2 linked regions of the Sus scrofa genome follow. Each later gene encodes a partner of the first gene's protein in a complex. Links are inferred from orthologs where the notes say so. Each region holds a gene or a part of one and is shown on either strand. Other genes may lie near its edges.

Region 1 (3,511 bases):
CCCACGTTGCTGTGGTGAAGGCTGGTAGCTGCAGCTCTGTTTCAACCCCTAGCCTGGGAACTCCCATATGCTGCAGGTGTGGCCCTAAAAATACAAATAAATAAATAATAGGGAAATGTTTTTTATGTTTAAAGCTCCACTTGCTGGGAATTCCCTGGTGGTATAGGAGTTGAGACTCGGTGCTTTCACTGCCGTGGCCAAGGCTCAATCCCTGGTCTAGGAACTGAGATCCCACCTCAAGCCACTGCATGCTGCAGCCATAAATAAATAAATAAAATAAAGCTCCACTTGCCAAATGGAAACTGCTACATCCAATTAAATTCTTTCTCTTGGGATATAACAATTGTAATTCAAAGGAATTTACCTTCCTTATATCTTTTCTCTGATTCTTCAGCTTGCTTTAAGGCCACCTCTTCTGATACAGTAATGTAAGCATTTAGAAACTTGGTCTTCTTAATAAGGGAGAGACACTTTTGACAGAGCTCAGTTGGAGTAATTTGGCCTTGTTTCAGTGCTGTAGAAACCTGTAGTATATACAATTCAAAAACCCTTTGCTGAGTTGGCAGAAGTTTCAAATGTTACACTATGGTGGGCAGATAGAGTGATTAAGTATAAAAATTTGAAGTGAGGCTTGGATTTAAAACCAAGAGAACTGATCAAGTCTATACTTAGTGTGGTGAATGAGGGTAAAAACATTGGTCAGCTGGATTGGGTTGGAGGACACTGCCTTCATAGCTCTAGCTAAGTAACTCTATGTCAGGCTTGAACAAACAAGATCAATGGTTTAGGAAAGCCACCCTGTCTAGGAGAAGTAGAGGCCCAGTGTGGGTGAAGCATAGGTTAGGGTAGATTGTGTACAGAGAAGAGCTTAGCAGAAACATGGGCCATCCATGGAGCAAAAGAGAAATGAACTAGACAAGGCATTAGAGGACAATGGCCCTCCCAAAAGTGATCTTCATTAAATAGATTTTTTTTTTTTTTTTTTGTATTTTTAGGGCTGTACCCTCGGCATATGGAGGTTCCTAGGCTAGGGGTCTAATCAGAGCTATAGCTGCTGGCCTACACCACAGCCACAGCCACACGGGATCCGAGCCATGTCTGTGACCTACATCACAGCTCACGGCAACACCGGATCCTCAACCCACTGAGTGAGGCCAGGGATCAAACCCACAACCTCATGGTTCCTAGTTGGATTTGTTAATCACTGTGCCACGACGGGAACTCCCTCTTTTTTTTTTTTTTAAATCTACTGTAGAACTCAAGCAAGAGCCACTATGAATTGAGAGAAATCCTTGTAAACTATGAATTCAAAAGCCAACCAACAACAAACTTTTCTAAAATCATATCTTTGATGCATTAGGAAAGCTAACAAATAAGCGTTAAAATAAACAAATGAACAGAACCTGAATACTGACAGTAAAGCCTAAGGTGAAGCGATGACTATATAATACTTCCTGTAGGAAGTAATAATAATAAATACCTACTAATCAGATAAAAGGAATGAATAACAAGATGTCAAAGATGACACAAAAGCTTTGGGGACAATCTGAAAAGAAAGTTGGATAAGATGGCAGCTCAGAAACAAGGGGGATCGGGGGGAAAAGTAGCATTTTCTGAGTATTTACCAAGAGCCAGGCACTCTTGTTGCTTTATGTTCATTATTACTTTATTTAAACCTTAAAACAACCAGTTAAGTCAGGTACCATTAACTTCATTTTGCAGATGAAGGAACTAAAGCTCAGTTAGGTAACGCGATCTGTCCAAAGTTACACAAATAGTAAAGAGTAACTTAACATCTGCTCCTTTACCATTTCTCTCTGCACCAATGGAAGCCTGTCCTGTATGTTAACTGTATTTTCATGTGTCCTATATGCCTCAAGCAAGAGGGGTTTGCATTTAGGGGAAAATCTGCAAATGATCTGCTCTAGGCTGTTGAATAAATCATCAAAGCAGCCGCATTCTTAGGCCTGAGGGTTTTAAGCCAGAAAAGCGGTGGGAACAGCCCACTGAGAGAATCCCTAATGCTGATGGATGAGGAGAGGGCTGCCATGGGAGAGATTCAGGATGGGGAGGGGCAGCTGGGCTTGACTTAAAAAAAGTAACCTAGTAACGAGAAGAGCTAATTCTGTTGAATGGTTTGTATGAAATGTAAACTCTTTAGAAGACAGGAGCTGGAGAGAGAGAAAAGACAGCATACTGTCAATAGAGAGTGGGCTTATGTAAATAGGCCGGGTGCAAGAGTCAGAACTAGCAGGAACACAAAGCTGGAGAGACAGAGGTTTAAGTCCCCTAGGGCCCTTTACCCTCAAGCTGCCTTCTGACTTGCCAAGTGATGAGAGAACAAGTGGTAAAGAGCTGCTGCTCTTTAGACCCACGCTAAGAGGCTGATAATTACTTCCAATTGTACAGGTAAATTACTGACATTCCTGCTTGAAATTACACAGCTAGAAAGTAGGAGAGCTGGGATTCAACCAAGGCTCTGATCTTGTTTCCAAAACTCATGCTCTGGGCCATGAAAACGACTACTTTTCTGCAATGTGTTACAGCATTTACTCAAAGTAGAGAACATTTTATTAACTTTATAGATAACATCAAGAGATTCACTTAAAGAAGGAACTTTCAAAAGGAAAACTCTTGCTAAATGCTGAAGATACAGAAGGCCTTTGAAGGCTGAGTGTTCAGTTGACTGGTACTGTCCTTAACACACTCATTTAACATTCATGCTTTTGTCTCCATTATTCCAAGAAATAGCACATTGAGATCACCAGCAAACTCCACAGTCCTAAATCCAGCAGCCGCAGCTCAGTCCAGCCGCCCTCGGCATTCAATACAAGGCATTACTTCCTCCCTGAAGTACTTCTTCATGCGTATTTCAGGACATCAAGCCCTCCCGGGTTTCCTCTTGCCTTACCAGCCATTCCTTCCAGTCTTTTTGCTGGCTCTGCTTCCTAATGCTGACCTCTAAATGTCGAGCAGTTTTAAGCCTTTTATTTTCACCCTCAACTTCCCATGGGATCTCATCTGACCAAGTACTTCAATTATCTTCTCAACTCTGGCCAATTTATATCATACCTAGCTTCCTTCTTGATCTCCACACTCCTGTACCTACCTGCTTAACTGACATCCTCTCTTAGACATCTTTGAGGGCATCTCAAAATCAACATGTCCAGAACGGCAACCTTGATAACCTTCCCCTCACAAACATGCTCCCTATAGTCGTTCCTATCATGATGAATGTTACCATTTCTCCAATTGCTCAGACCCCAAACCTAAGCATCCTCCTTGACTGATTGATCTCCCTCAAACCCCGTATCCAATCCATCAGAAAGCCCTGACTTAAAAGACATCATACCCACCTTGCCCTGCCTCTACTCCCACCATCCTATCCATTCTGCGGTCATCTCTTACCAACGCAACAGCCTTCTAACTGGTCTTCCTGCTTCCTCACTTGCTTTCCGATGGTCTATAATCCTGAGCAGCCTGAAGGAGTTTTTTAAATTTTAAATCAGAT
Region 2 (4,171 bases), on another chromosome or scaffold:
CTGAGGCTGCAGGTTCAGTCCCTGGCCTGGCTCAGTGGATTGAGGATCTGGTGCTGCTGGAACCTGTGGCACTGGTCAGATAGATGAGGCTTGGATCCAGCATTGCTGTGGCTGTGGGGTAGGCCTCAGCTGCAACTCCAATTCACCTCCTAGCCTGGGAACTTCCATATGCTGCAGGTGAAGAAAAAATAAAAGAAAAAAAAAAAACTTTGGGCAAAGTGGCTAACCTCCCTAGATTTAAGCATCAGATTACAAAATAGAGGATTTGAAGGAATCAAATACAAGTGAGAACGTGAGGCTAGCAAGCACTTTACATGAAGGTTATGGTTTCTGATAGGTGTGGTTCTCCCTAATGGTACTGACTAAAGGGAACTAATCTTTCTCCTCTACCAGGAGTTTATTTTTTAAAATTCCATCAGGAAAAGGATAGGACAGCTGTAGACTGCTCCTGTCTTTATAAGCTACATATGCATTATTCCTAACAAGCTGCAGTCCCAAACAGCAAATAAGTCTGCTTTTTGAAAAAGAACATCTTTGACCCACTTCAGGTGTCACATGACAGCCAAGGATGGCTGCACCTAGCCAAGTTGAGCAAAGGTTGGAGTGAACCTTAGCATGGCTGAAGAAGACCCAGAGGCAGTGACTATGGGATGGAGAGTGTAAGGCTCAAGATGGAAAATCATGAACCAGATGATAATGTCAAGGAAAACTTAACTGATATAACCAGAAAAATTAACCAACTTCCAAAGCAAAAAGGAATCTGCTTGAAATAGATCAACATGTATTAGAATTAATGGGAGTTCCCACTGTGGCACAGCAGGAACAAATCCAACTAGTATCTGTGAGGATGTGGGTTCAATGCCTGGCCTCGCTCAGTGAGTTAAGAATCCAGTGTTGCCGTGAGCTGTGGTGCAGATTGCAGACAAGGCTTGGATCTGGTGTTGCTGTGGGTATAGTGTAGGCCAGCAGCTACAGCTCTCATTCAACCCCTAGCCTGGGAACCTCCATATGCCATGGGAGAGGGCCTAAAAAAAAAGACAAAAAAACAAAAAAATGAAAACACCTCCAAAAGAACATCTTATTTAAAAATATATTAAGATTTGGCAAAATTGGTAGAGGTGGGTAGAGGCTGCACCCTTTTGTCAAAGACCTGCCCTCCCATTGCATTACACTATTTCATCATTTGGATTATTGTTACTACTCTGCCCTCTTAGACATTTGGGGGTTCTTTTTGGTTTTTTGTGGCTTTTTTTGGGGGGGGGGTTGCTTTTTAGGGTTGCACTCGTGGCATATGAAAGTTCCCAGGCTAGGGGTCAAATTGGAGCTGCAGCTGCTGGCCTATGCTACAGCCACAGCCACAGCCACAGCAATTTGGGATCTGAGCCATGTCTGAGACCTACATACATACACCACACCTCACAGCAACGCCAGATCTTTAACCCACTGAGCAAGGCCAGGGGTCAAACCAGCATCCTCATGAACACTAGTTGGGTTTGCAACCTGCTGAGCCACAATCAGAACTCCTCATTATTTTTAACTGCCAAATATTCCAGTGTATGATGATGTATTTAGTCATGAAGGACACTTAGATTGTTTCTGGGGCATTTTGCTTCTTTTCTGTTGTTTTGTATTATAAACAGAATTGCATACTTGTGCAAACATCTTGATGCACTTTCAAAAATACTTCCATAGGAAGCCACTAGATCAGAAAATATGGTCATTAAAAAATTTTGATACGGGAATCCAACAGTAATAAGTCAGACATGAACTCACATTCTAGTAACAAATATTACGAATCAACGAAAATAAGATAATCAAGAAAAATATTAGAAGAAAATCCACAGGATAAGGAGTTAGTGACGGGAAGGTGTGAGGTATTTGAAGTGGTCAGGAAAGGCTAAAACACGCCAAGGAGACAGACTATCCACAAAAGGAATGGCAAGCGCAAAGACTCTAGAGGAGAAACGAATCTGGAGTGTGGAGAAACAGTAATGAAACCAATGTGGTTAGAGTGATAAAAGCAGTACGTCGGAGTGATAGGAAGGGATTCTTAAATCGGGCCTCGAAAGTCAAGCTTCGCAGTTCGGATTTCGTTCCTAGTTACCCTGGGAGTGACTGTAAATTCCCCTGTGGTGCAAGGGGTTAAGGATCCGGCGTTATCCCAGCTCTGATGCAGGTCGAAACTGCCGCCGGGTTCTAACCCCGGGGAAATTCAACATGCCGCGGGGGCGGCCAAAAATAAATAAAAAGGAGGGAAAGGATCCCCAACGAACAAGGTAAAGAGTGAAAGTACTTACTCGCGGGGTGACCGTGGGCAAGTTCTCGCATCTCCCTAAGGCTCTTTTCCCCTCTATGAATTGGGACACTAATCTCTACCGCCGCGAGCGAGCTTACCTGTCCTCCAGGACTGAGTCCATGGGCTCCACCCCGTCCGTGTCCACGTCGCGGAGCCGGTCGGCGAAGGCAATGGCTTTCTCCAGCCGCGCCACGGCCTCTTGGTTGCCGAAGTCCACAAGCGCTAGTCGCTCCAAATGTTCCACCAGCTCGGCCGTAATCCGGCCACTTCCCTGGGGCAATGAGGAGGGCGTGGGTCATGGATGGGGTCTGCTCCGCCTCCCGCCCGGCTTTAGCAAGGACTAGACGCTCCGGCCTTTACCTGAAGATCCGCCTTGGAGGTGAAGCCCCGGAACGCGCCCGCCGAGGCCCGAAGGCCGAGCCACACAGCCCGCGCCCACATTTCTCTCCTGCTCGGCCTCCGTAGTGCGTCCTCTCGTAAAGCCGAGCGACGCGCTTAAAAGTGATGACATCCGAGAGCGCCGTCACCGCCGCTGTCGCCGACGCCATGAACAGCGTAGGGGAGGGTTGCACGGACATGAAGCGCGAGTACGACCAGTGCTTCAATCGTTGGTTTGCCGAGAAGTTCCTCAAGGGGGAGGGCTCCGGTGACCCGTGCACTGACCTCTTCAAACGCTACCAGCAATGTGTTCAGGTGAGCGCTGCCCGGGCCCCTTCGCCTCTACCCCAGGCCCCGGCTTCTCTCTGCGGTGTCCTGGGCCATCTTATCTTGAGGGGTGAGGGTGGACAGGGCGAGGGAAAGCCTCGATGAGACTAATGGCAGGAGTTCTCTACCGTCACCACCAAGGTCACCTGATATCTCTCCGAATGACAAAGTTAAATATTTTTTGCTGCGCTTTACTTTTTACGGAGCCCATTAACATTCTTTGGTTTATGCGCAACCTAAACTTGCAAAGTGGGCATAGTTACTTGCATTGTAGGCGTGGAACACTCGCAACCAGAAATAGGAAGTGATTAGTCTGGGATCAAGTTTCCTGAACTGTGTATTTTCCATAGTTGCTGCGGATCGAGACCGAGTGTTAGCCTTCTGGCCTGTTAAGATATTATGGAGAGTCTGTTTCGTTGTTATTACCCCTCCATTGGTCTGTTTTATCTCTCTAGCTAGCAAATTTTTATTCCAGCTCAAAGAATGTGAAACTGCTTTGAATTGTAACAACAGCCCTGGGCAAGGCACTCACAGTTAGTTTAAAAACTTAAGCAATTAATTCCATGTGGAGTTGCTTTCTCCCACTTAGGAAAGTGAGGCTTGCTCAGTTACTTAAGTCCTGGAACTGATTTAACTTGTATCTGTCACAAGAGTGGTGATACTGTTTAAAATTCCACTTCTGAATTTTGATGACACAACTCTTTCCAGTCTCTCTCATCTTACACTTAATCTCACTTATGTTCAAAAGTATGGGGTTTGTTTGGTCCAGTCAGATTGACTTTGTACCATCATATTGATAAAACTTGGTCCTCAGGCTTCATGTAGATCTTTAGCATTTGTTTTCTCCCATCAGAAAGCAATAAAGGAGAAGGAAATTCCCATTGAAGGACTGGAGTTCATGGGCCATGGCAAAGAAAAGCCTGAAAGCTCTTCTTGACCTTGACAGTCACCTTGAAAATGGACTCCTCAAATCGGGAAATTGAAGACCCTGGATTGTGTCAATTAAAGTGATGAAGATAGCGGATCTATTTGATGAGTTTAGGAGGGAGGAGTTTCCTTCCTGATATTTTTCTTTCACTTGTAAAAGATGATGAGCCATCACTCTGCTTAGATTTCTGGCTTTGGCATCTCACCAGGAACTCGTGTGCTAAATGATGGGATTATTTGGGA

The links. Proteins that work in one complex are often made in the same cells at the same time.
Region 2: QRSL1 (region 1) and GATC share a complex: the UniProt entries of both Homo sapiens proteins name them as parts of the heterotrimeric GatCAB amidotransferase (AdT) complex. The link is inferred for Sus scrofa from reciprocal best matches to the Homo sapiens genes QRSL1 and GATC.

What each region holds. Positions count from the first base shown.
Region 1 is NC_010443.5:72,818,601-72,822,111, reverse strand, and holds part of QRSL1 (glutamyl-tRNA(Gln) amidotransferase subunit A, mitochondrial), read right to left. Parts: intron 525-3,511; coding exon 365-524; intron 1-364. UniProt on the Homo sapiens protein: Allows the formation of correctly charged Gln-tRNA(Gln) through the transamidation of misacylated Glu-tRNA(Gln) in the mitochondria. The reaction takes place in the presence of glutamine and ATP through an activated gamma-phospho-Glu-tRNA(Gln).
Region 2 is NC_010456.5:40,412,594-40,416,764, reverse strand, and holds the start of GATC (glutamyl-tRNA(Gln) amidotransferase subunit C, mitochondrial), read right to left. Parts: upstream 2,801-4,171; 5' UTR 2,738-2,800; coding exon 2,657-2,737; exon of another isoform or gene 2,568-2,656; coding exon 2,395-2,567; exon of another isoform or gene 1,265-2,394; intron 1-1,264. Other genes in the region: TRIAP1 (TP53-regulated inhibitor of apoptosis 1), read left to right, coding at 2,801-2,989, 3,855-3,938. UniProt on the Homo sapiens protein: Allows the formation of correctly charged Gln-tRNA(Gln) through the transamidation of misacylated Glu-tRNA(Gln) in the mitochondria. The reaction takes place in the presence of glutamine and ATP through an activated gamma-phospho-Glu-tRNA(Gln).